Linked DNA regions of Drosophila melanogaster. The protein of the gene in region 1 purifies or fractionates together with the protein of each later gene. This does not show direct contact. Each region holds a gene or a part of one and is shown in the gene's direction. Other genes may lie near its edges.

Region 1 (3,962 bases):
CTTACCTCTGCACCACCGCACCTCACACACACACTCACTCAAACGGACGCAAATATTTGCCCACCTCGTATTACATACCCACGACTTGCCATTATCGTTAAGACAATACAAAAGGCCACATTTGGTACAGGGAGAAATAAGTGGCCTAAATTCGGGCAACAACTCACTTCCTGAATTTATTGAACCAAATGGGTAAGACTTCTAACGACACTGTTATTGAGCGTAATTTATAAATCTACTTTAAAGAAATTAATAGTAAACAGAAGATAATTAGCATATGGACATTTAAACTACAATTTTCCCATTATTGTTCTTTTCAACAGGTCCGTTTGAGTATTTTCAATTTATCGAATTATTTCATTTAACACTTCGTTTATTTATGATATATCTACAAAAAGAATATATATTTTCTTGAACATTAAGGAGAATTTATCAGTTATAACTATACTAATTCTTAGGATTACTCTTAACATTTTAATAATACCTATTTAATTGTTTTTGAAAATTTGTTGGCACCTTCGGATATATTTGTTCGAGTGCATTGTGCGTTTTGGCTGCGTATATGTACATATGAATGTAACCCTTTGCAAACATGTCTATTTTGGTCAATGGCAATGGCAACGCAAGCCATTTGTTAATTGTTGCCACACCCCTGCGGCCGAGAAAATCGAGCCGGGACGGGACCTGAATCTGGGGATCTGGCATATGGGATCTGGGATCTGGATGCCATGGACAGAGAACTGAAGCCGGGGGTCCGGGGCCTTTGGCCGCCTGTCATAATTACGGAACTGGCTGCTCAAGTTGCCGCAGCTGGCACCTAAGACATTGGCCATGGCTAAAGACCTGCATCGTCGCCTGCCTAGTTATTAAATAGATGGATGAATGGATGGATGGATGGGCGATACGGGGCTGCTGGGCGATTCCGATTCCATCGATGCCCGACCACAGATCGGGTTTCAGGTATTAGTCAGTAATTAATCATCCGCCTTGTTATAACGGCCAATTGTGTAATTACAGCATATATGGATATCTAATGCGTTCGATAAAAATGTAAATGCGCATACATACATATATGTACCTACATATATCGTCCTCAATCGGGCGAATTGAGAATTAATGGCCAATAAGCGAAAATGAATCATGCAATTGGCGCCCAATGGCTTCAAGTTCTCGCAAAATGTTGTAAAGCCCTCGGCCCAAAAGCCGAACCTCTCGAGGGCCCACTAAAACCCCGATATAAACAGGGCCCGCAGCCAAGATGTTAAAACACCCACCCACCGCCAACTCTACACACACACACTCGCACACACACACACACATATATGTAGACCGGAAATCGCCGGCGATAAATCTCCCATTTACCTTTAAACTCGAAATACGACTACCAATGGGGATCGAGGGTGAATCGGAGGAAAATGGGTGCGGAAGTTGGGGAAGTTAGGGAAGTTGGGATGTGCGGGAGTGGACACTGTTACGTCCTTAAATCCACTAACAAATAAAGGAATAAATTGCCCATAAAAAGGATTTTGCAAATGCCGGCTGCAACTACGGAACCCACTTGTGTTTCCTATTTTACAGTTATTGTGCACTTCTTTCTAGTTTAGTTGCTTGTACTAAACTTAAAGAATTGCGCGACCGCAAATGCCAACAAGTTTTGTGCGATTCTTGTCCACAGGCAAAAGTCAAAATATTATGATCAAGTCTGTAGCTTCTCTTTTGATGCAAAATATGGCTGGAATTGTTTTTTACTGTGTCTACATAATTTCGATTTATATTCGTGCTTTCTTCTTCTGATTTATTTAATTATCCCATGTGTATTAGCTAATAAATATAACGTTGAACAATTTTGAATTGAAAGAATCACACTGTAGCAAAATACTTGATGAGTTTGGATAAATTTAATTAATTAGAATTTTCTGCACAACGTATAGAAAATTTGTTGAAATCAATCTTTACTTCCATTTGTTTAATTTTTGGAAATTATCATTTGTTGTAAGATCTTTTATAATATTTTCTATCAAAATACAGGTTACATGAAAAACCAAGTGGAAAATTAAGAAAGTAAAATTGAAATGGACGAATTAGCTGTTTTCTAGCCAAGCGGGGAGGTTCGTGTCTTAGCTCAACGAATATCGTGGCTCTGCACCTGATTTGAATTCGACGGTCACACAGAAATACCGAAAACCGACATGTACAATTTGTTGTGTACTTGGTATATTTGTCGTGACCACATCTGGTCACACTGCTCGCATAAGATCAACAACTACTGCGGCCATTCTTACATTCTACTCCTAAAAAAATTCCGAAAGTGCACTTAAATAGCCCAAAATAATAACAAAACATAATAGTGACCGGACGATGCAGCACCGCCAACAAAATAAAGTGTGAAAACAAGTGATTGAATACCCGGAAAGTCGCCTCGCGAAGCGGGAACTAACGTGTTTGGCTGGCCTGTTTTTTCTCTCTCCTCTTTTTCGCCAACCAAAAACCAGGCTAACAGTGATTTTTTCGCGGGGGAGGGGGTGCGACGAGCCAAAACCCGTAGTAAAGAAACCGCCCGAAAGGAGCGCCCACTTTGGCCAGCAACTTTAGCTCAGCTCCCCGAACCAAAAGTGAAGAAAAAAACAAAAAACTAAAAGGAAAACTTAAGTAAAACGGGGGCGTCTATCGCTTGCAAGTGTGTTGGTTAGTCAGTGTACGTGTGTGTTGGCCAGAACAAGTTGGCTGCGCGTGTGTGCGTGTGAGGGGTTTTTTGATGTCTGCGCTGTCTTTTTTCCCCAGCCGAGGTGAGCACACAGGTGAATTATCGGTGCATTCGGCTGCCTTGGCAACAATTCCATAAAAACAACACATAGAAAACAACAATAACGACCACCCGCAATATATAATACATACATACACACGTTTAAAACCAAACAAAATCCAGAAAAATGCTCCGTTTTCTAAGCCGTCGCAAGGTGCGCAACAACTATGTGGATAATTCGAGAGAGGGCGGCGGGGCAACTAGTTCCGCGGTGGGCGTGGCTGGGGGTGGTGGTGCCATCACCTCCGGCGGCAGCTCACAAATAAAGCCACAACGCATCGTGGTCAACAAGAACAAAATCGACTGCCGCGTCATTCTGCTGGACAACACTGACCTTTCCATCGAATTATCGGTGAGTACAGGAGGGCCCACATCGAATTACATTTGGCCCATTTTCGATTTTTTGGCTTTCACCCTTTAAACTGCTGCCGTTGGCAGTAATTTTCGGAAGGCAAACAAACAAGCGATTGGATCTTATAAGAGAATACCGTCAAGGTAGAGATAAAGATAGAGCTAAAGTGGTTGGTAGGGCGGCTCAGTATTACGTACTAAATAAATAATGTCTTAAATTTTACGAATCATCTTTAGCTCTATCCTTTATACGAATTTTAAATTTGAGCTCAGAAATATTATTTATATTAAGAAGTAAGTCAGGGTATTTATTGTCCATTAAATGCACTCTGCTAAGAGAAGTATTGAATTCTCAAAACAGCCCAAAACAATTGTGTAGCAAACGTTTTAACCATTTCATTTATTGGTCCACCCTAATGAAGACACTACCGCAGCTTGCATTGCCTCAGTCCGTGTGATAAAAATAAGCAAATTGCTGCTGATCAGCACATAATTTAACCCGCTAAGCGAACGTGATTAGTTCAGGGTCGCATTGATTTACACCTGCCCCCCGTCGGAAGCATTAATTTTCCACTTTGCTGTTTGCGATTGCAGAAAAAGGCATTGGGCAGCTTTTTGTACGAACAGGTATTCTACGCACTGGACATCATCGAGAAGGATTACTTTGGGCTGCAGTTCATGGATGCCAATCACGTCAAGCACTGGCTAGATCCCACCAAGCCCATCAAGAAGCAGGTCAAAAGTGAGTTAATGTGTGAAACCAATTACGTGGGCCAAACAATACTAATTATTTTACCTTTCCCGCAGT
Region 2 (3,600 bases), 2.2 Mb from region 1:
TTCTGTACATGAACTGAATCCCCCATCTAATAAAAAGATTCTTCAGTTCCGAAGTAAAAGGATCTTTAGAAGACTTTTCTATAGTTAGGGAAGCCAAAGAGCTACTCTTAAATAAATACATTTTCGGAGCCCTTTTGCATTTGGTTTTAATTTTTCATGTAAATTTAAGCCTATAAAAAGTATTCCCTACTTTTGGGCGCATGTAAGTAATATTCTGCTATCGGAAATCGCTTGTTCGGGGCGTATACTTGATTTCGCTGTCAATGGACCGCAAGATGTCTATTTAACCGGCCTCCACACTGAATTCACTCTACAAATCACCGAAATCGTTAAAAACACGCACACCGTGCAAATTGCAGCGCACAACAAACGTATGCAGCACGCCCAAAGCAACAAAATGGATTGCGTAACACAACAAACACCTTTATAAATATACACACTACATGTATTTAGTATATAACAATTTTCACACAGTGTTCGCACTAAAATGTAATAGGTTTAGCTGGGGTCTTGGACTTAGAGCAGGGCCAAGATAGCGGATAGCACGAAAGAGGTGGCGACCATTGCGTAACCGGTGGAGTAAACCTCCTTGATCTTCAGGAACCGTCCGGTGTCCCAGAGGAGATGCCTAATACCATTGGCGGTGTGATAGCCAGCCGGATAGGCGATGATAAACTTGAGGGCGGTCAGAGTGGCGCCACTCAGCTGGAGGCCCTCCACCATGGTCACATAGTGGCTAATGTCGTGGGACGAGATCAGAGCGCCCAATCCCAGACCCCAAACACCCACACCCAGGGCCAATCCTGTGCCGCGGTGACAGATCGAGAGCATGGAGGTCAGCTGCGGTTGGTAGATGGTCAGATGGGGCGACAGCTCCCTGCCCAAGCGCTCGTTCTTCTCGAAGAACGACTCGTCCTTCTGGGTTTCGGCCACGGAAACCACCTTCATCGATACCGGGCGGCTGGCAGCGGCCATCTGGAGGCCCTGGCGCAGCGCCGGAGAGCGGATCAAAGAACTGGAGAGTGCATACCTGCAAAAAGCAGTCACAAATCAGGGTTTTTGCAGTGCCATCACAGAAATTACGTACATTTCCCTGTTTTTCACTCGAACTTGTATTGATGGGACCGTACACTGACTGCGCGATATTACCGCAAACAGGGATGCCACTACGTTGGTAAAAAACAAATAAGTCTCGAAAGTATTGATTTTATATCAACTGTAAAACATTGTTATTACTTTATATGATTAATTCTGTTCCCACTTTTATATTATTCCAATTGAGAATATTACACATATTTATCTTTTTTACTGAAACAGTCTCAAATTATTAAAAGTTAGAATGGCCATAAATATACGTAAGAAACATCAATATTATAGCTATAATAATTTTGTTCGCCTTGTTAATATTCCCTGCTCTTAACTAACAATAAATCGAAGAAAACATTGAAATTATCGATACGTGTATAGTAGGCGCTGCCACTCCCGGATCAATCGTTACCACTCCCAAGCGAGTTGGCAGTTCTTTCGCCATTTTTTCTCGCTCATTCTTTTTGCTGTTCGAGTGAGCGCGTGGCAGGTCGTTTCGCAGTGTTCCCGGTCCGGTGCAGTTGTAGTTGCATTTTCGCCAGCGATTTAGACGCCATCTTCCGACTCCCGACAAGCCAATCACCATGAAGATCTACAAGGATATCATCACCGGCGACGAGATGTTTGCCGACACCTACAAGATGAAGCTGGTGGATGATGTGATCTACGAGGTGTACGGAAAGCTGATCACCCGCCAGGGTGACGATATCAAGCTGGAGGGCGCCAACGCATCCGCCGAGGAGGCCGACGAGGGCACTGATATCACCTCGGAGTCTGGCGTGGATGTTGTGCTTAACCACCGACTGACGGAGTGCTTCGCCTTCGGCGACAAGAAGTCGTACACCCTCTACCTGAAGGACTACATGAAGAAGGTGCTGGCCAAGCTGGAGGAGAAGTCGCCCGACCAGGTCGACATCTTCAAGACCAACATGAACAAGGCCATGAAGGACATCCTTGGCCGCTTCAAGGAGCTGCAGTTCTTCACCGGCGAATCTATGGACTGCGACGGCATGGTGGCCCTGGTGGAATACCGCGAAATCAACGGCGACAGCGTGCCCGTGCTCATGTTCTTCAAGCACGGTCTGGAGGAGGAGAAATGCTAGATGGATCCCAATCCCCCAAACAAAACGGAACCTATACTCATGCATACCTTCTACACACATATACATATTTATCAGATGCTTAGTTACAATTTTGAAAGTCTTAAATTTATGTTTAAAAACGCTGACAAAAATGCCTGTCTTCGATCAGTGCGATTTTATATCTAATTTCTTTTTACCGGAGCGCTTATAAATTCGACATTGTATGTTTATTGTTTAATCACAGCGAGCTAAACAATTCAATTGCGCCACCTATTGTAATTAAAATAATAATTTGATAGCAACACCTACAAATTAGTATGCATTTTCGCTAAGATATCAAAAAGCAACGAAGACCGAAAATGGGAACACCAGTACTGAAATTAAACGGAACACCTATACAAAACAACTGTGAATCCGCATGTCTGTACTTCTTTCCAAATCTGCAGTTATGCGTAGGTAGACGCCGCCATATGGCGGCGTGAGTGGGAACGAGAGGGCGCCACCACCGTCTGAGTCACAGACTTCAGTTAGTTTGTGTTGTTGCTGCTTTTTGGGGCAATCGCGGAGTTATTGACCTTTGACAGTGATGTACACATGCCCCGCACCAATACCGTTACCGTCATTGGACATTTTGGAGGTCATGCGCAGTGGAACACGATTTTCTGCACGTTGCAGTTCGACTTGCCCCAGTTTCTCACGTTGGCTTCGCCCTAACCTCAACCATGCTAATGAAATGCGCCGCTCTCGCTGGAATTTGGGATTCTATAATCTAATTCCAGGTCAAGCAATACGTACGTCTTTATCTGCTTGAAGGGCGGGGCTCTGCGCCCCAGGTGCTATTTCCATTTCAGCGAAACGTGTCGACCTGTTGCCGTTCGTCGCGTGAGAGATGCGCACAGTGGACACTCGTTAGGGCGAACGGCGATATTGTCTGATGTTCGAAAACAATTTTTTTGAAAAGCACAATATATTTTCCTAAAATTGTAAAGAATATTTTATTCAAGTATTTGAATCTAGTTGAAATAGAACCATTTTCGGGATAAAAAGCTAAAAGTTTTTCTTCGCTATTCTCATACATTGTTGAATTTAATGGTTTTTAATATACATACATATGTGTCTATTTATGTACCTTTCCATTCTTATGAAGCGTTGTTGAAATGGAGTATTGTTCCAAGAAAACTTTTTAACAATAAGGAGAACAACAAGCTATACAATTCTGGTTTATTTTGTGGTCTTTCAAATTAAATTATATTTTTGTAAAGAAGTAGTAAACTGGGCAGTTCAATAGCAGATTATTTTCAATGGGAATCTTTTGTAAATAATTGAAATAGGTTAATCTAATCGAATATGTTAATTGGTTATTTGTTTGTACCCAACAAAAAACGAATGATAAGTACCCATCCAACCGGAATTAAAACTTCTTTCAGTTCGG

The links. The genes of interacting proteins can lie anywhere in the genome.
Region 2: the proteins of yrt (region 1) and Tctp purify together in Drosophila melanogaster (affinity purification with western blotting, with the first as the bait; one study listed by BioGRID). This does not show direct contact.

What each region holds. Positions count from the first base shown.
Region 1 is NT_033777.3:13,433,241-13,437,202, reverse strand, and holds the start of yrt (yurt), read left to right. Parts: upstream 1-2,218; 5' UTR 2,219-2,930; coding exon 2,931-3,155; intron 3,156-3,748; coding exon 3,749-3,896; intron 3,897-3,961; coding exon 3,962-3,962.
Region 2 is NT_033777.3:11,208,711-11,212,310, forward strand, and holds Tctp (translationally controlled tumor protein), read left to right. Parts: upstream 1-1,536; 5' UTR 1,537-1,670; coding exon 1,671-2,189; 3' UTR 2,190-3,188; downstream 3,189-3,600. Other genes in the region: SdhC (succinate dehydrogenase, subunit C), read right to left, coding at 517-1,030, 1,088-1,089. UniProt on the Drosophila melanogaster protein: Involved in calcium binding and microtubule stabilization.